3 linked regions of the Lytechinus pictus genome follow. The protein of the gene in region 1 interacts with the protein of each later gene in a pairwise test. Links are inferred from orthologs where the notes say so. Each region holds a gene or a part of one and is shown on either strand. Other genes may lie near its edges.

The links. The genes of interacting proteins can lie anywhere in the genome.
Region 2: the proteins of DAZ-associated protein 2-like (region 1) and CLK4-associating serine/arginine rich protein-like interact in a two-hybrid assay, tested with the Homo sapiens proteins (2 studies listed by BioGRID and IntAct). The link is inferred for Lytechinus pictus from reciprocal best matches to the Homo sapiens genes DAZAP2 and CLASRP.
Region 3: the proteins of DAZ-associated protein 2-like (region 1) and UBX domain-containing protein 6-like interact in binary tests that used the Homo sapiens proteins (3 or more experiments, as listed by UniProt). The link is inferred for Lytechinus pictus from reciprocal best matches to the Homo sapiens genes DAZAP2 and UBXN6.

Annotation. Positions count from the first base shown.
Region 1 is NC_087247.1:61,784,190-61,791,323, reverse strand, and holds the start of DAZ-associated protein 2-like, read right to left. Parts: upstream 3,112-7,134; 5' UTR 2,771-3,111; coding exon 2,749-2,770; intron 1,848-2,748; coding exon 1,627-1,847; intron 698-1,626; coding exon 581-697; intron 1-580. UniProt on the Homo sapiens protein: In unstressed cells, promotes SIAH1-mediated polyubiquitination and degradation of the serine/threonine-protein kinase HIPK2, probably by acting as a loading factor that potentiates complex formation between HIPK2 and ubiquitin ligase SIAH1.
Region 2 is NC_087251.1:20,022,563-20,029,509, forward strand, and holds the start of CLK4-associating serine/arginine rich protein-like, read right to left. Parts: upstream 3,041-6,947; 5' UTR 2,879-3,040; coding exon 2,780-2,878; intron 1-2,779. UniProt on the Homo sapiens protein: Probably functions as an alternative splicing regulator. May regulate the mRNA splicing of genes such as CLK1. May act by regulating members of the CLK kinase family.
Region 3 is NC_087247.1:47,551,484-47,559,123, forward strand, and holds the start of UBX domain-containing protein 6-like, read right to left. Parts: upstream 3,041-7,640; 5' UTR 2,667-3,040; coding exon 2,566-2,666; intron 1,318-2,565; coding exon 1,169-1,317; intron 1-1,168. UniProt on the Homo sapiens protein: May negatively regulate the ATPase activity of VCP, an ATP-driven segregase that associates with different cofactors to control a wide variety of cellular processes.

The DNA of each region.
Region 1 (7,134 bases):
GAATTACCTGATACTAACGAATACAACAACAGTTTTAACACAATAAACTACCCCCCCCCAAAAAAAAAAAACAGTGAAAATATTGCCTCCTAATTAATGCTGAGTGAAACTGACTGGGCCATAGGCCTACATGTAGGTGCAATTTCTAGCAGACCGGTGGAAAGATGAAATACATGAAAAGTACATAAATTAATTTTGATATCGACTTAATAATTTCCTTAAGGTTTCATAAGATATATAATCAACCAAGTGGGCCAGGGAGGGGGGGGGGGCACTTCCATTGACGAGTGGATACCATGCGTGACCATGGGATTTAGAAAAGCACCCTAAACAAGTATTTTCCATGTTCTGAAAATGCACCCCTTAACAGGTATTGGAAACAAAACGGTATCCTTGACAAGTATTCCCTTAACAATATCTTAACTCTAAAAGGACTGGGCTATTTGAGAAGTATTTGAGGACAATGGAAGTGCTTTCCCCCCCCCCCCCCCGGTCAAGTGGGACTACATAAATATTATATAGAAGCAAATAGCAACAACAAACAAGAAATAAGAAAACAGGACAAATCAAAACAACTCACTGGAATTGAAGGAGGATTTCTTGAGTTGAATCTTGCACCAGCATCATATCCACCATTGACAACTACTGCCTGTGCTTGAGCGGGGGGTTGGTACACAGGGGCTTGTGGGTAACCAGCCTGTAATTAATAAATGTGAATACATCAATATTTTAATCTCTCCACTAGTGTGCTTTCTTGCATAACAACGAGTCTGTGTGATAGGCTATTCTAATAATCCAATATCTGGAATCATTATAAATAAAATACTTGTTGGAAGCCCTTTCTATTTAAAGGTTCTTCCATACTTAAATCAGCTGCTTTCATGAAGAAATAGTAAATCTGCAATCTAATCATTATCGTGATGAAAATGTAAGTGGTTTTATTAAAAATAAAATAAATTGGAGTGCTTAGATCTATCATGTAAGTAGAACTCACCCTTTTCCTTCTTCATCATAATTACAATCTTTCTAAGTTAGATACATAAATTCTTATTTCAGTTTGTATTTATGATGTTTCCGCAGTTGTCACTGTTTTTCCAACTTATACATTTGCCCGTCTATCCTACGTGTACATGTACATGTATGACCAATCTTTCATTCGTTGAAATTTTCAGTAAAATTACCTTAAACGTTATAACTACATGTAATGAATAAAAAACAGGCCTGCATACTTTCTTGATATTTACAAGCACATGCATTTGTTCAATAAATTAACTCGGAAATACAGGCCTAATTCTGGGAAAATGTGAGTTGGCATAAAATGCATGTAACATTACATGCCATTAATCAAAGAAAACGATTTTAGCAGTTGAACACATCCAGACATAAAAAATACATTACAATACACTTCCTTATATACTACAAATCACATAATTTTCTTTTGAACATTCTCATTTTGTGGCTCACATTGAATATTTTGTAATTTTTTTTGGCCTTTCATTTAACAAACATACTTTGGAAATATACTACAAATATCATTTCAGTCATAGTGTGCTATGACAGAAATGGGTGCATACATGTATTAAAGTGTGACATCTAAAGAAAGTATAATTGGTTATCACAACTTACTTGAGATGCTGGGGGAGGTGAGGCTGTGGCAGAATACGGGGGTGGGGCTCCAGCGTATCCAGCCCCTGGAGGTGGGGCAGAGTATGCCTGAGGCTGTTGAGATGGAACTACCTGTGAGTTGTATGCTGGTTGGCCAGGATAAGCACCTGATGTAGGATAAGCTGCTTGCTGTGTGGGGTATGCAGCCTGCTGGGTGGGGTAAGGCTTCTTACCATCTTTTTCTGAAATACAAGCAACAAGAAATAGTCACTATCCATTATTACCAATCACATACTTCCATGAAATTTACAATTTATCAATACTAGCCTAGATGTCAAGCACTAACAAATTTGCACTTGATACTGAAAATAATAATTTACTAGAATTTTAATTCGTCATGAGGACGAATTAGGTGATCTGTCTGTGATTCTCATGATCATGATCACGATCTTATTTTTTATCATGATCACCATGTTAATGCAAATCAATATGATCATCATGATAATAAGCAGATTAATGGAATAACATGTTGAATACTGTAAAAGATTGGGAATGAGAAGGTTGTGTAAAAAGTCTTGCAATTCGTGTTCGCCATTTTGGATTCGGCAGTGAATTAATAATACGTGTGGAGAACTGGGAACCGGCTTGCCGCCAAGGTGATCCTTTTGCAGCAAATGTAAACAAAGAAAATTGGTCTCCCAAACTGGAGACTGTCTCTGAAATTGGATACCCAAATTCTTTAAAACTAAAAGACAAGTCTCTGATGAAAGTGATATTGACTTGGTCTTGCCCTTGGATCTCTCTCATGGGAGACAGACAGTCTCCCATTTTGGCCTTGCACCTACTCTACTACTGTCTGAAGTTCTGTCCTGATTCACATGGCATATGATTCATTGAAATTGCCACTGTTGTGACTCTGATTTCATTCCTCATTCAGTTGTCAGACGAGATGTTCGGAAATAATCTTGCCTGTGTATTTAAAGGCGATTACGCCCATATGAAATATGTATACCCATAGCACAGAAACCTGAATTTCACCGATATCCTTGCGTGGATAAGAAATCGCACGTGCTTACAGACTCTGGCTCTTTCAATTTGATTTTCTACACATATCGAAATGGAATTGAATGCCCATTTACTTACCCTTCTTCTTTCCAAAAGGCATTATCGAACTATATTATCTATATACACGTAATATAATGGAAAGTTGCAAAAGCTCGGTATAAACTTAACGACGTCAACAGAGGATGTCTCTGCGCTATTTTACTTAGTTCTGTCACTGTTTGGTATTATACCTCACTACTGTCTGTTTACGTAAAATTGGTGCGGTAATGTAGTCTTGAAATGTACCTGCATTAGTTTAAAAAACTAATTATATCTTTAAATATATTTTTACTCTAGATAGTGTTTTTCACGAAAATTACAGTTTCTTTCTTTTTGTTTCATTCATACGATTCTCTTGGATTCAATTATCGACTTTCATTAATTTATCCGTCGTATTTCAATAACATTTTTGAAAAGCGCTTAAAACTAAGACTAAGCCTCTCCCAATGACCACATCGTCTAAATTTGGGACGGGGTTCATCCAACGAATTGTTAACGTGTATTATATTTCTGTGGGTTCATCGAGCCAGTGACGTCATATCCACGTGAAATAGAAACTATTCATTTTTAAAGGAGAATGAAACTCTTGGAGCAAGTTAGCTTTTGTGAAAGCAGAAAAATCAAAGAATAAGATCAACAAAAGTTTGAGTAAAATAGGACTAGCAATAGAAGAGTTATGAGCATTTGAATGTCGAGATCACTAATGCTATGGAGATCCTCCCATTGGCAATGCGACCACGAAGATCTATGATGTCACAGATGAACAACTCTCCCCTTTTGGACACTGAAAATATACCACAAAACATCTCTTTTTGCTCATTCTAATCATATGACAAACGATTCATCAATTATATAATGTTGTGAAACCTCTGTACTTGTCCTCTCATAAAGAGAACACCTCACCTTGTGATAGACTCTATAAAAGTGAGAATATATAAGTGAAATAAGTACTAAAGTAATGAGGGAGTTGTACGTGTGTGACATCACAGATCTTGGTCGCATTGCCAATGGGAGGATCTACATGTCATTAGTGATCTCAATCAGTGGCGTACCGAGGGTCACGGCATTGGGGGGGGGGGCAACAGCAAAAATTTCGAGTCGTTTAGGGAGCGCGCGAAGCGTGCTCAGTTGCCAGGTATACTGACCTAATAGAGACATTTTAAGGACATGCAGTGCCATTAAACGGATATTTATCTCACTGATTTAATGCGAGCGCGAAGCGCGAGCTGAAAATTTTTGATATTCAGACCTAAAAAGGGACATTATAGGCGAATTTTTTGTAATCGTGATACGTTCCTGCCTCGCTAAACAAACAATGCGAGCGCGAAGCGCGAGCTGAAATTTTTGTATATATTGACCCCAAACGGAATTTTTGTATTTTAGGAATCCATTAAGAGTATACATATCTCAGCATAGTCATCTAATGCTAGTGCCATCCTTTGCTGATTTTGTTAGAATTACATCTAAACACATTTAGCACTTTTTGTAGACATGGTAATCATGATTATTATACGCATCTCACTAATCAAATACTGCGAGCGCGAAGCGCGAGCTGAAAATTTAGGAAATTCAGACATGAAGAGGGGCATTCTAAGGCTTGTTTACAGGAATTCACTAAGACCGTACGTATTTCACTCACCAAATGATGCGAGCGCGAAGCGCGAGCTGAAAATTTTTGATATTGAGATCAGAAAAATGGGCATTTTAAGGACTGATTTTAGGAATTCATGAAGAGCAGACATCTCACCAATAACTAATGCGAACATTAGCACAGACAGGAAATGTTTTATATTAAGACCTTAAATCGGGCAATCACTTTAAGTAGTCATGAAAAAGAAGCAAATGTCACTACATGAAATAATAATAACTCGAATTGCGAGGAAATATATTTGGTGTACAGTATATTGATTTGAAAACGGGAGGTTTTAGTATAACATGATTATATATCTCGTTAAACAGTCTATGCGAGCACCAGGAACAATAAAGACATAGGGCCTGAGCAAATAATGTTTCATAAAGTTATGAAAACATGCTTCTTATGTAATATAACATAATTATAATATAATATAACATTTATAATGAACATAATTTCTTTTTTCCCCACTGCGTTTCTCTTCCTTTCTCCCTCTTTTTCTAATTTTCCCCGTTTTTTTTTTTTTTTTGCCAGCCGATTGGGGGGGGGGGGGCATGGGGGGGCACGTAGTTACGCCACTGATCTCAATATTCAAATGCTTATAACTTTCTTATTATTCATTCAATCTTCCTCAAACTTTCAACAATATGTTTCTTTGATTTTTCTCTTTGATATGGATTCAGCTGGTTTCAAGGGTTTCATTCTCCTTTAAAGAGAAATTAAGAAATAATGACAGCAGGTGGTTTAGTCACAAACTTACAAAAGAAATGAAAGAACAAAATACCACAAGGGGAAGGAATAATGACTTTAGTAAAAAAAAAAAAAAAAGGAGGAGTAAGGCCTTTAGGTCAGAAATCTATATTTTCCTCTCGCGCTTCGCGCTCGCACGACTTGATTAGTGATATATCTATCCCGTTCATGATTACAAAAATGTGCTTAGAATCATAAAATGTCTACATGTATTTTTTAGTTCGGAATGTCATGAATCATCATCCCCAAATAATTTAAGGTATGGTATTATTAATAATAATAACAACAACAACAAGAACAATTATAATACTACTACTACTACTACTACTACTACTACTACTACTACTACTACTACTACTAATGATATAATGATAATAATAATAATGATAATGATAATGATGATGATGATGATGATATCATTATTATTATTATTATTATTATTACATAAACATTAAGCAGTAATAATAAGATTATCATAATGATGGTTATGATGGATAACGTATTTATGCATGATGACCATTGATATCTAATTATCTCATAATGATCTTATTTTCATTGCTATTGAATGAAAGCACCATTCATTTTGGAAACTGTTTCAAACAGATGGATGGAGAAAAAAAATCCAGGATGAAATATAATAACATGTTCATGTTTATGCTTTTATACATGAATTTACCCCCCCCCCCACCGCAACTAAGCACGTTGGGGGTGCCCCATTTATTTTACTACTCTATTTTGAATATCACTTATTATGTAAATTTCCTTTATTCATGCAGGCGCATGATATAGAACAAGTGGAGAACACAAGAAATGAGAAGTGAAATTCAAATGTGTGTATAAAATGGTAAAATAACCAGGGGCGGATCCAGCGGATTTTTGTTTGTTTCTTTTAAGGGGTAGTTCTACGGGTTGACATTCGTAATTCCGAAAGTTTGTTATTCCAAAGGTTCGAATATAACAAAGATTCGTTATTCCGAAGAACCGTCCTTCCGAAGTTTCGTTAATCCTATAGAACAAAATAAGGTTTGTTATTCCGAAAACGCAATGAGATTTGTAATTCCGAAGGTTCATGCATCAGTCCGAAAACGAAATAAGGTTCGTTGATCTGAAGGTTCGTTAGCCCGAACAGCGGCGTAACAGGGGTCGGTGGCCAGGGGGGCAAGAGCCAAAAATTTCCCGGTCATATCATGGAACAGGCACTGGCGTCATAAGGCAAACATTTTGAGGGGGGCGATATGGCGTATCGGGCAAAAATATATATATAAATGCGAGCGAGCAACAAATTTTTGACATTTTTATTGCAAAAATCCAATTTTGTGATAGATTTTGACATAATGTTAAAAAGATTATATCATATTACACTCTCCTCTCTTTCCTTTTTTCTCTCTTTTTTGTTCGCCAAGGTGAACAGGATTTTTGTTATGATTGTGAGCATCAGGGCGAAGCTCTATATGCTCGAGGGGGCCGATTATGGCGCTTGTGGCAAGAAGTAGCTGAATATAGGTCCCGAGCGAGCGAAGCGAGCGAGATAAAAAAAAATCACCTATTCATGAGAATCTAACATGAAGATAGATTTTAACGTGATATTCAGAAAAATATAATACACTTTCATTTCTTTCCTCATTTTTTATTGTTTGGTTGTAGAATTTTTTGGGCCATGGTCTAAACTCATCCATCATATAACAGTGCTTTATGGGTTGGGTCCAGGGCAGAGCTCCGGAACCTCTTGATATTAAAGCCATTTTAAAACTTACAGATGGCCACTTATTTTAATCAAATTGCGTGCATTTTATATAGCTTTTACACAACACATAAATTGCAGTTGTGTATCGTAATCATCCAAATATTGTGAGGGGCACACCATAGCAAATGTGGGAAAATTTGTAAAAAGTCGCCAGCGAGCGAAGCGAGCCTGAAAGAAAAATGGCCTGTTAAAATGAAATTCTAATTATGTGATAGATTTTTACATCGTAGCAAATATCATGTCATATATATTTTTTTTCATTCATGTCATTTTGCTGCCTCCTTTATTTTCTATTATT
Region 2 (6,947 bases), on another chromosome or scaffold:
ATAGATACAAATTATTATTAATCAAATACTAAAATTTGATACGTGATTATAAATAATAATTTATAATCACGTATTAAATTTTAGTATTTGTTAAATAATAATTTGTATCTATAAATTGTTTATAATCACGTATTAAATTTAAGTATTTGTTAAATAATAATTTGTATCTATAAATTGTTCTTCAAAACGGCATTTTGTAACATCGCTAAACGAGTGCACGTCATAACGAAGCGATTCAAGGGTCAGACCTAGTATTGTATTTGCTTTGTTGACAAACGGATCGAGGGATCTACACGAGATCGGTCTGGTAATAAACCTTAAAAGTTTCTCTTTTTTATTAACCAAATTTTGGAACCTTCATATGCATTAGGAGTTTGAAGGTTCAAATATCAATAAAATTCCCCTGTACAAAACGATTTCACCCTCTAACGTTATGTCTAATTTATGTTGTTGTTGTTGTTGTTTGTTGTGGGTCGTTTCCACACCCAAATGATCTCCTCGGTATACTCTCAGTGTGTCTGTCACAAGGTTGATGAGCTGCTAGGTACTATTTGCTTAGATACTGGTGCTAGTTGGCATTGGTGCTTTTGATGAAGCGAGCCAAAGAAGATGCTATTATAGATTGCATTTGGGGTGACAATTAGGGGTTAGTCCCAAGGAGGGAAAAGAGGGATATATCTCGAAGATAGGAGGGGGTGCTTGTCCTTTGATATCCAACGTCAATGGATTGCATCATCTCCTCTCTATGCGACTTGTGGAGTGGGCAGTGAAGAAGGACATGTTCAATTGTCTGCCTGTCATGTTCACAGTTGTATGTGGGTGTAGGGCATACACGAGGGAGTACTCTGTGCATATGGTCTCTGAGCTTAGTCTGTCCAGTTAGCATCCTCATGATCTTGACCTTTGTTGACCTTTCATATTTACTGGAGGCTTTCTTTCTAGTAACATTTGGCTGAAGCTGATAGGTCCATCTACCCTTGGTGGTTATATTCCATCGCCTTTGCCAGAGTCTTACAGTGTTCTTCTTGATGTTCTTGGTGATACTTGCATATGAAGTGGATGAAGAGGGAGGTGGAGCATTGCGTGCATGGTAAGCAGCCTCCTTTGCCAGTCTGTCTGCAATTACATTTCCATGAATTTCAGCATGACCTGCAATCCAAGTTCTAGTTACAGAACTTCCTCTATTGTGTAGAGGAATCTAATTTATACTAATAGCCTACATGGTCTATGGATTTCTACCTAGGGAAATCCATCCGGGTGTCAGGTCTCGCTTCTGCGTCTATGGGAAGAGTGTCAAGGCTCCATGATGAAGAAGTATATGTCAAAATATTAAAAAACATCATCATGGAGTCCTCAAGGACAAGGCTATAACTAACCCAGGGAGCGACAGCCCACGAAGCGGGCCGGCGCCCAGGAGCTCACCGTGTATTTACCCTACCTCAGGCGATGTTCGTGCAGGCTCCACTCCACTTCACTACCGCTACACTACCCTCCACCTACCCGAACATCGGGACAGTGAACTAGATCGGATATTCCGAGTCATAAAAGGTGGGATGGCAATTATGGGTATCGTAAAAATTAAAGAAAAAAATTATAACGAGGGATATGAATGACTTAATATCTTACTCTGCACCCGTATTTTACTCCGTGTCCATCCTACGGTTATCCTCAAAATTGGTGATTTTGGGCCAGTATCTTTTTCCTCACACATATTATTCACAGCCTATTTCAAAACATCGCATGCGATCGCGATCGATCAGCGATGAGGTATATTTACCCATACTCACGGGACAAGGGTAGATTATGGTCAAAATATCTAACAAGATAAATTGTAAAAACAGAAATTATGCACTTACCACGATTATATGGATGAAGGTCTATCGAGTGGTAGAATCCTGACATCGAGGCACAGACTGGAACCTCAAAAAAAGAAAAGTTCTCTCCTTTTACCCCAGTCTGGATCGGCCATTTTGTTATGATTCATAATCATATTCATAACAAAAATGGCCGATCGAGACTGGGGTAGGAGAGAACTTTTCGTTTTTTGAGGTTCGCCCAGTCTGTGTCTCGATGTCAGGATTCTACCACTCGATAGACCTTCATCCATATTATAATTGTGGTAAGTGCATAATTTCTGTTTTCACAATTTATCTTGCTAGATATTTTGACCATAATCTAGGCCCTACCCTTGTCCCGTGAGTATGGGTAAATACACGGTGAGCTCCTGGGCGCCGGCCCGCTTCGCGCGGGCCGGCGCTCCCTGGGTTAGGCTATAACCTGCCCTGGCCTGGGTTAGCTGGACATGCTGGACGCCGGAACTCAGGGGCCGATTGCACGAAAGGGTCTTTCCAAGGACCGTCTTTCGTGTCGCCCATCTTTTATGATATGCCATGTGAATCGCATTTCAAATAAATTATCTGCAAATATATTTTATTTGTTCGTTAAAATAAACAAAATATTTGTTTATAAAATGATGTGATATCTCATGAAATTGTATAAAATTTGATTTAAAAGCAAGCTTACGAATTTTATTTGTTTATCATAAATTTCAGAAACACCCCGCTTATAGCGCATCATAAAAGATGGGCGACACGAAAGACGGTCCTTGGATTTGGAAAGACCCTTTCGTGCAATCGGCCCCCGGCCGAGATTCTCCCAATAGTCCGAGTGAAGTCTAACTCTAACTTAAGGCCTTACGGGTCGGGGCGCGGCGCTAGTCCTCACTCCTAGAGTCCTACATCTACGTACCGGTACCGGTACGGTACCGTAGTCTACTTACGATTTTTTCGTAGTATTCTCGACGCCTCTCTGCTCTTTTCTTGTAATCTACCATCATTCCACGGATTAACCGTTCTTGCCTCCTTGCTTCGTGCCACATACTGATGTTTATGTGTTTCTGATGGAAAGCTGAAAAACCTAAACAAAGTTCACTTCAACGATTCTAAATGTTGCAAACAAGCGCCATATTTCTCACCAACTTCGGTTTTTTTTATTTTACGTACCGCCGCGGTATATAGATCTAGAGCAAGAGATGGCGCTAGACTCAAACCTGACTCAGTCTTACCGGTATATTCTTCTCCGGCCTTCCTTCTCCTCCTCCTCCTCCCATGGGCGGAAATCTCTCCTTGAAGGTAGGGGGGGGGGAGACACAATTCAGTTTCTGTTTTTATGTTCTACAGAATTACTAACTCAAACACACACACACACATACACACACACATATATATACATATATATATATATATATATATATATATATATGGCAGTGTATCCTATTGCCGGACACCTTTATTTCAGTGCTTTAAAAATGACAACTAGAGGAAATACAATCAAGAAAAAATCGCACTTGCTATTCCAAATATTATATGAAAATTATTAATATGATAAAATTATTTGATATTTACCAACCATTTTCTTTGCATCACACTTGCCGCATACCCCTCCACGAAAAACAATTATTTTCGTGCGCGACAAATTACATCATGATTCCGGACGCGCGCCAGACGGGTGAAGATATCCTTGATTATAATGATGTAAGAACAAATTTCTGTGATTTTTTTTTCTTCTTATATCATATCATGAATAAATTCTAACTTTTTGTTTGCTTTTTTTATATCGAATCTGAGCAGATGTTGGTAATAAATTCGTGTTTGATAACTTAATTTATTTTTTATTTTTTGGTTAGCTGCATGTTTCATGGCACTTTCCAGTGCTCGTTCGTATCGTGACGCTCATCAAGTTCTATCGATGCGCTGCCGATCGTCGACGGCTCTACTCACGGTAAACCTCGCGCACGGTACCTTGAGAACTAGCCGTCGACGATCACCCACAATACACCTCACCTCATCATTCGATCGAAGGAGCCGACGAGATTGACATTCGGCACTGAATCAGGCCCATATTTCCGTTAGAAAATATATAAATTGTTAATGTAAAACTATGTTATATGATATTTTAAGCATTTTCTGTCATTTTAGAGATAAATAAGGTAAAAGTTTGATTTTTTCGCCTTGTTTTTGCAATCTTGTTCTATGTATATTGATCTGTGAAAATGAATTGTGAAAGTCTTACGGTACGAAATTGTTTTCGAACGCATTTATATGCGCGTCCGGAATCACAATGGTGTCCGGTAATACAATACGTGACTATACATATTTCGAAGAGGGGAGGTATTCCTAACTAAAGATGAAAGGCCTCAATAAAATTATGCGAGCGCGAGTCCAAATATGTTGATATTTCATAAATTGTGACCTGGAAATTGAACATTCTGAACATTTTTGTGATCATGAACTAGAACCTAGAAGCTAAACCATTAATGTGAGCGCGAAGCGCGAGCTGAAAGTTTTTGATTTTCCAACCTAAAAACTAGACATTCGTAACACTTTTGCAAATCATTAACAGAATAGGAATTCAACTAAATAATAGATGCGAGCGCGAGCTGAAAGTTTTTTATTTTCCAACCTAAAAACTGGACATTCTTAACAGTTTTATAAAAATCATGAACAGGATAGGAATCTAAACAATTAATGTGAGCGTGAAGCGCGAGCTGACAGTTTTTGATTTTCCAACCTAAAAACTGGACATTCATAGCACTTTAAAAAGAATATGAACAGGATATGAATGCAAACAATTAATGCGAGCGTTAAACGCGAGCTAATCGTTTTTTATTTTCCAACATAAAAACTTGACATTCTTAGCACTTAATAATGAACGGAATAGGAATCTAAACAATGAATGCGAGCGCGAAGCGCGAGCTGAAAGTTTTTTTTCCAACCTAAAAACTGGACATTCATATAGCACCTTAAAAAGAATATGAACAGGATAGGAATCTAATCAATAATATTAACGCGAGCGCGAGCTGAAAGTTTTTGATTTTCCAACCTAAATACTATAGACATTCTTAGTACTTAAAAAAAAAATTAATGAACAGGATAGGTATCTAAACAATTAATGCGAGCGTGAAGCAAGAGGTGAAAGTTTTTGATTTTCCAACCTAAATACTGGACATTCTTAGTACTTTTTTTCAATTATGAACAGGATAGGAATCTAAATAATTAATGCAGGCGCGTAGCGCGAGCTGAAAGTTTGTATTTTCCAACCTAAAAACTGGACAATCATAACACATTTTCAAATCATGAACAGGTTATGAATTTTACTAAAAATATAGATTCGAGCGCGAAGTGTGTGCTGAAGATGTCATTTCCGGCCTAAAAATTGGTACATTAGCATATTTTAAAATCAAGGACAGGGTAGCTATCTAACTAAATTTTAATTAATGTGAGCGCGAAGCGTATCCTGATCTTTTTTAATTTTCCGACCAAAAAGTCATCTTCTTTTCACCTTATAGCAATAAACAGGATAGTATCTGACTCAACCATAATATTACTGATGCGAGCGTGAAGCGCGAAATTTTTTTTAATATTCAGATCTGAAAACTGGATCTTTCAAGCACTTTTGAAATTAAGAACAAGCAGCTTATCTCAATAAGCAATGCGAGCGCAAAGTGTGAGCTATTTTTTTTTAAAGATTTAAGCCTACAAATTATGAAAAAGATGGATATCTTCCTAGTAAATAAATGATTTGATTTTATATATTTCGATCTAAAAAGTGAAAAAATTTAAGCACGTTTTGAAATAATGAGATGGCTGTGTATTAATGCAAAGCGCGAGCGATTTTTTAATCTTTATACTATGACCTGAAAGCTTTTTTTTTTCAATTATTCCCCTCCCCTTCCACCATTTAATTTTCTTCCTCGTCCTATCTTTCTTCTTATTTTTCTCCTCACCTTCCTATTTTGCGCCGCCCCAATAGGGGGCGGGCCGCCGCTTCGCCCCTTGATCTACCTATGATGACCCCTCCCACGGCAGGAATTTTGTGTAAAAATTGAATATAAAAGTCTCGTTAATAGAGTATTTAAAACAAATTTTGGGGGATTAAACATAGTTAAAATTCACTGCGAAGGATTAATCATAACTCATGAAAACTATTATTTTTACTGAGTACGCGAACAATGAAAATATTCTTATATTCCAAGTAAATTTGGAATAAAGGGAAAATGAATTGGTTTAACAAAGGTATGTTTTTACGAGGTATGGAACATTGTCGTCTACCATCTATGCACTAAATTTACTTATAAGTATCCAGAGGCGATTATCTTTTTTTCGTCATTTTTATTAGTTATGAAATTGACAATGGCCATCGATGTCATCAATGTCATCACTCTTTGGCTGGCATATAGGGCTAGATGCGAGTTCGAGAATAGTCGGGCCGGTATGCCTTTTCTTTTCCTACCCAAGTTCTTAACAAAAACTATCTGTTTATATATATTTCGAAATTCGAGGATACATGTGTATAATTTCAATTTTGAATTATGTATTTTTTTCCCATAATGAAAGACCACAAATAGTAGGGAGGACATTTGATAGTATGTCCCCCCTTTCCAAAATGGTAGGGGGGACGCGTCCCCCCTGTCCCCCCTGCATGGGTTTTCCGCCCATGCCTCCTCCTCCTCCCCTCCCCCTCCTCCTTTTCCTCCTCCGGCCCTCCTCCTCTTCCTCCTCCTTCCCCTCCTCCTCCTCCTCCTGTCTTCCCTGGGTAAATGATGCTAATATATATATATATAAATAATAAACACAATAATGAATATAATAATAATGATGATGATGATTATTATTAGTATCTTGCTCAAACAATATATCTTACGAGATGAGAGATTACTGGAGAAAATATTGTGATATTAAGCTAATTATGCCGCATAAAATCCCTCGTTTAGAGGTAAAAAAATGATTGCTGGTATAGTCTCGTTTTTTCCAGACTACACAGCGCGAATATTATTACCCCGGATTTAGATCGAGCTGCCGTTTCATCAGTATACGCTCATTGCATTCAAAGGATACAGGGTACCCTTTAATCTATGCAAATTTCACAAATGAAAATTTTCTCCTCGG
Region 3 (7,640 bases), about 14 Mb from region 1:
AAAAAATATCCAAATATTTAAAAATGTGAAATTTATCTACTAAAAGAAAATTGATAAATCCTATAATAATTTTTTTTTTCAAAAAGCGAGCGTGTGACATATAGACTTTCTCACTAGCATCTATGCTGTGCATATTTTGTCAAAATAAGCAATTTTTTTTTCATTTTCCATTTGATTTTGATGAAATCTATTTATTCAATTAACCTGCTCTTGGGCTAGACTTGATCTTTAATTAAGGCGCACAAGCAGAGAATTCATATGACCATTACACCACCTGATTGACAACACATGGTAGTGTATCCTATTGCCAGACACCTTTATTTCAGTGTTTTACAAATGACAATTAGAGGAAATGCAATCAAGACAAATTCACACTTGCTATTCCAAATATCAGGAAAATTATGAATATGGTAAATTATTTGATATTTACCAACCATTTTATTTGCATCGCACTTGCCGCATACCCCTCCACGAAAAACAATTATTTTCGTGTGTGACAAATTACATCATGATTCCGGACGGGTGACAAAAGGGAGAAGGGTGAAGATATTCTTGTCTAATAATGATGTAAGAAAGAATTTGTGTGATAATTTTTTTATGTATCACATCATGCGTAAACTCTAAGTTTTGATTGCTTTTTTCATATCGAATCTGAGCAGATGTTGGTAATAAATTTGTGTTTTCTAGATCTAACGAATTCTATTTTTTCTTGTTAGCTTTCCAATATTATGCTCGTTCATATCGTGATGCTTATCAAGTTCTATCCATGCGCCGTCGATGGCTATACTCACGTTAAACATCACGCACAGTATAACCTGGAGTCTAGCCGTCGACGATCACCCACAATACACCACACGTCAACATTCGATCGAAGGCACAGATGAGATTGAAATTTGGCAAATTAGGCCAAAAATTCCGTCAGAAAATATATCAATTGTTAATGCAAAACTATGCTGTATGATATTTTAAGCATTATCTGTCATTTTAGAGATAAATAAGGAAAAAGTTAGATTTTTTTCGACTTTGAAATCTTGTTCCATGTATTGCTCTGTTGAAAAATTGAAATGCTGAAGTCTTACGGTACGAAATCGTTGAGTATGCAATATACATGTACACGTCTGGAATCATGATAAGTGTCCAGTAATACAATACGTGACTAGATGTATACCCTGTGCTTTGACTGATGCTGAAGCTGCTGATCCTGGTCTTGCTGCACCAGGACCTGGAGTAAGTCTACTCAGTGCTGCCTGGCCTGCCATCTGAGAACTAGTAGTAGGCTGCATTCTTGGGGCTACTGGTTTAGATTGACCAGATGTACTGGATGGAAAAAAAGGAAAAGAATTTAGAATAAAACATATCTCGTCAAATATAAAACAGGATTGAATAATATTTAATAGATTAGATTTTAGACTGAAATGAGTTCTATGCCTGCCCTTGGAATTTGAAGTTGATATTTTGAATGGAAAAAGATTGGATAAATGGAAGTTTTGTGTCCAAAAGCGATTTATAATCATCTACTGTATTGAAGTGTGACGTCATCAATTTTCCATTTTTGCATGTCACTTTTTTTTATACCATATTTTGGCTGAGCATGATGAAAACCCCCACAGCCCAAATTTGGTGGGAATCGGTCAAGTCAAGACATGTCATAGGGCCTGGGTCTAGAATTCTTATTCATGGCATGAGAATATAGCCTCCTTCAATTTCTATTTAGTAATTAGTATTAGTAACTGTATAGGCCTAGCTGTAAGTAACAATTCAACTGAATCTTGTTATGGAATTTTAGAAATCCATTTTTAATCGTACTATTTTGCTTATTACTATGGCATATTATGCCTGCCTAGCTTAGACCAAAAGCTTCGGTCTCTGTTATGTTGGTTGCTCCGCTGAATCAACTCCGTTGGCTCCACTCACCAAATACAGAGACCGAAGTTCTAGCTCGATCTGTACAGGTGTATTGTATTGGTTATTCGGATCAACCAGAGAAGTGGGAGTTGCGCGACAGCCGAAGTCACTGTTTTTTTCCCCTTTTAAGTTTATTTTTTCCCGTTTTGGTGCATTTCGGGCCAGAACGGAATAATAATCTTTACTTTGGTATGGTATAGTGGATTGTATTACCGAACACTTTTCATGAATTCAATTATATCAAACACATTATTCTCATAAAATTCACCAAAATTTCACGATAAATACACAATAACCGGTACCTACAAAATATAGGTTATGTAAAAATTTTGCCGAAATCGTTTTTCCTTTTTACGATTTCAGCTTCCAATCGGACCCCTCTTCGCATATGAAATATTTTGGTCACTTGAAAAAGGTATCGTGGCTACACGATACTGATAGCGAGCCGTCTGTGTTCAAGAGAAATAATTTTTTTTTAACTCCTCGAAACAGACGGCTGCCAGCTGTTTAGCATATGCCATAACATAAGCAAAGCCAAAGGGCAACGACTGAAAAATGGTGTAGTCCCATAAATGGCAAACCGTGTCATGCAAAGTTCGAAAGAACAAAAAATAGTTTTAGTCTAACCGTTAGTTCAATTAAATATTAAATAGCAAATACCTGGGCTGTGGCGTACTTTCGTTCAATTTTACTCCATGACCAGCTCTCTTGAATTTCATATCCGTTTTCTTTTTGTCGAAGAATTCCCCAATCTTCTTCATTTTGAACAATAAATTTCGAAACGGCAGCCAACAAAACGAGAGATGAATCAGATAATATTCATAGGGTCTAACGTAACATTAGATGTAAACAATAAACAGCGCCAACATCTCGAGTCGAAGCCGGCTAGAGTAAATTAATTCAATTCAGTTTAGGTAAATATCACAAGAGAGTAGAGTAAGTATATCATAAAACTGGCGGATCAAACAACATAGAAAAGCAAGCGGCTTGAAAATTGGGGGGGATCTATTTTAGGATCCACAGCACAGTGTCAGATGTAAAGTTAGTCGGACCCCCGCAAGGGGCGTTCGTCCCCTAGAAAATTGCCCATTGAACATTAATTTAGCTAAATCCGTCTATGAAAAATTTAATCTGCGCCCAACATTTGTTGGTTGCGCCCCCTCCGTTTCAAATCCTGGATCCCATATTCCGCCACTGGATACATATCACACAAATAATAATTGAATGATACAATGAATGCACCAAATGTTACTTGTATTTTCAAAGAATAATGTTTGCTGTATAATAAAAGGAAGTGATAAGTAGCAAAATGGAATGACAAAACAAAGCAAAACAAAAATATATCACATTGATTGATGGATTCGTTATGTACATATATATATATATATATATATATATATATATATATATATATATATATATATATATATATATGAAGTAAGAATGCTCATCTGTAAAATTGTACTTGATTTATATTACTTTATATTACTTTGTATTATGTTTTGACTGGAAATAGAATAAAGATTGAATTGAATTGAACTGAATTGAATATATACAAAGCAAGTCATCCGTTTATGTTCTAACACACATTTGCCCATGCCCCATCTCTTTTCAATATATTCAACACGATTAATTATAATGCTAAGATTAATACCGTCATATAGTATCAATAATGGTTTACATTGAATTTGTTATAAGAGGAATTGTAAGAGCAATTACATTCATTTATTAAGTTATTTCCTCTTTAAGGATATTCATAGCATAGAATGATTAAGAATATTCCAACATGTCTCACTAAAGCTTTGTTACTCATGAATGTTCTTTAATAGGCCGAGGAATTTTGTTATTTCTGAATAGAGACTGCAACACAAAGAGATTCCAAGTGGTTGTGGTAATGAACAATAGGATTAGCTATGTTGTTTATTTCACTGAGGTCATTCAAGAATGTTCTAAAATTAGACTGCTCTAGAAATTGGCAGAATGTTCTTTTTGTAGACAATACTAGAAGCTTCCATAATAGTAAATAATTTGTATATAAGCTGACAGTTTCTTCAAGGACATCATTACATCATATCAGATCAGAACTCAGAGTTTCACACCAGACTTTATGTCAGAGCAGAGTTTATTTCCAACCGGAATATTTATCCTCTGTGGTATTATTTGCACGCCATCAATGAACTGTTTGCAGTTTTTTTTTGAGAGAGGAATTCTCAGTTCTCATCGAGATCATCAACCTGTTTTAATGAACGCTTTTCAACCCATGGATTGCTGAAATTGACTGTTAATCATCATCAACATCGTCTTCATGGACATTTCAACATGTTACAGTGACTCTTGTTATTCATCGTGCTTCAACATCGATTTCATCATCGCCATCATTGTGAACTTTAATTTAAGGAATCTTCGCCAACCAACTGGGATTTAATTTGGATATACTATCTTAACCTTGGATTGTGCATCTGACACTTCAAGAGACGTAAAACCATTATTATTTTTTATTTGTTTGTGTATGGTTAATTATATTTCCTGTAATAAAAAAAGGAAATCAAATTTAAAACTAAATTTTCATTGTTATTTGTTGCAGTATCGTAACAAATTCAATGATCATTTTCTTATCATTGATAAAAATGTAATATAAAGTTTTCAATATGAGAACTAAGGTCATAATGATATATATGGTTATGATAATATATATGCTTATAATATATATATATATATTTATATATATATATACACACATATATATATAGGCGTAAAATAATCCAGGCATTGAAGCTAGACGTAGTTTTCAAGGTATCTCATTTAATGCTAGCTTTCGGCCAGTAGGGCCTTCATCAGGCCATTATGTATTGAAACAAACAAAATAGAACAAAACCATAAAACCATACAAATAAAATCGTCAATGCCTGGATTAGCACTGCAACACACGTTGTGCAAAGGGCTCTCTTCCTTTATATATATATATATATATGGCCCGGTTTCTGAATTCGGGTTTAACTTTGACCACGGTCTAACGTGTTACTCTGTTCTAAAATTATGGGATGCCAAAAAATTGTAAATCCTGTTAATAATACATTTTTTCTTATCTTTACTATTTTGTTTTCTTTTGCTTTCATAATGAAGGAAATACTTCAGATATCATTCATAGACAATTATGGATAATTTTAGTGTCAAATGAGTTAATAAATTGGATGTGTGCTGTTAAGGATTTGTGCCCCAATGGGCTCTCCATAGTTAAACCACAACTTTAAATCACGGTGTAATTTAAACCTGAGTTCAGAATACAGGCATTTCTATCCCCTCCTATTGAGAACCTACTGACATCTTGAGCTCTCCGGAGTCAATAACTAGTGACAGAGCGACACCTGTCCTTATTCAAAATATCAAGAAATATATAGAGATTATTATCTCGTATAATATGTATCTGTTGAAAATTTTGAAATTAAAAATCATGTTAAATTGAATTGAATTTTTCATCATCATCATCATTATCATCATCGTCATCATCAGACCATAATCACCACCACCACCATCACCATAATCATCATCATCATAATCATCATCATCATCATTATCATCATCATCACCACCATAATCATCATCACCATCATCTTCACCATAATCTTCACCACCACCACCACCATAATCATCATCATCATCATCATCGTCATCATCATCATCATCATCTTCACCACCACCACCACCACCACCACCAGCATAATCATCATCACCATCATTTTCACCACCACCACCACCACGATCATCATCATCACCATCATCATTATCATCATCACCACCATAATCATCATCGCCATCGTCTTCACCATCATCTTCACCACCACCACCACCAAGATCATCATCATCATCTTCATCATCGTCATCATCATCTTCACCACCACCGCTTCCACCATATTCATCGTCATCATCATCATCATCATCATCTTCACCACCACCACGATCATCATCATCATCATCATCACCATCCTCATCATTATCATCATCACCACCATAATCATCATCACAATCATCTTCACCATAATCTTCACCACCACCACCATAATCATCATAGTCATCATCATCATCATCATCATCACCATCATTTTCACCACCACCACCAGCATAATCATCATCACCATCATCTTCACCACCACCACCACCACCACGATCATCATCATCATCATCGTCATCATCATCACCATCATTATCATTATCATCATCACCACCATCATCTTCACCGCCACCACCACCATCACCACCACCATAATCATCATCGTCGTCATCATCATCATCATCGTCATCATCATCATCTTCTTCACCACCACCATCACCACCATAATCATCATCATCACCAACATCATTCATGTAGGCCTAGATCAACACCGCTAAAGGTCAAATGTTTATCATAGGGGCCAACTCTTAACCGAGAGAAACGCACCACCGAAACGTTGATTAGTTTATGATCACAACATATTTTATATAGTTTATGAAATAATAGTGCCTACAATATCTTCTGGGTGCTGCATTGTGGCGTGCGCCTGTAATACATGGAGGAAGTATAAATTAACTGATGCAGAGGTCCGAGGTTCTAGCCATGGTGCACGTCTTTGAGATGGTGATGTTTAAGCCTGTTTAACCCTTAAATGACTGGGGGCATGATGCTCCCCCTCAACGTTTCGTGCAATATTTCCAAAACGCAAAAAAAGATAGCACCGCAAAATTTTATGACTTTTTTTTTGAGGTCTCGCGCAACTTTTGAGACAAAATTCGCGACATAGGGGAGACCGGGGTTAATTGGCACATTTTTGACAAAATGGCTGTAAAATCCAAATAGATTTTATTCGAGAAACAATCAATATATCAGCTTGAAGCATATATCTAAGGGCTTCAAAATAATGTACCCCATAAAATTTTCAACTCTATTATGGTTACTGAAAAAAATCCACCTTGAACAAGACCATCGCAAACGTTCCAACTTACCCCAATACGGGGTAAGTTGGAACATGGTATGGGGTACGTTGGAACACTGCATGGTCAATTAAGAATTATACTAAAACTACTTAAAACTGTAATATTACATGGTTTTAGCCTATTTGCTTTATTTTTTCAAGTTCAAAATATTTAAAGTGTGGATTTGTTGAACTTTATGTTTTCTATTATACAGCCACTCACGCAAGCACACTGTGTAGTAGAATTCCGCGTATTTGGGTGCGTTCGATTTTACATGCAATTAAGTGTACTATCAGCAATTTCATGTACTTCTGCATCAAATTTACAAGACAAAAATTAATTATTTATATTTTTTTCATTAATCAATTATGCAAATAAGCATATGAAATTTGCCCTAAATTTTTTTTTTGCCTTTAACCATATTTATTAAGCTAGTAGAATGCTAATTTTTGGTGAGAGTATCAATTTTCACATTTATAACAAATATCCACCAAAAATTGCCAAAAATGTAATTTCTTATGCATTTTTTGTTTTTTTATTTGTATTTCTTTGTTTTTTTTAACCTTTGTTTTTTCGATGAACTTTGTCGGGACTCTTTTGCGATCATAAATAGCATGAAATAAATCTATTTGATCAAACAAAAGTAAAAAATAATCATACATTTATGACTTTTGGTTGAAAAACACAATTTGCATTGACCTTGTACATGGAATCACGTTTTTGAGCAATTTTGGGTCCTACATGCACGAACAAAATGTTGAGTAATTTCGAAACCGCGCACACAGGCA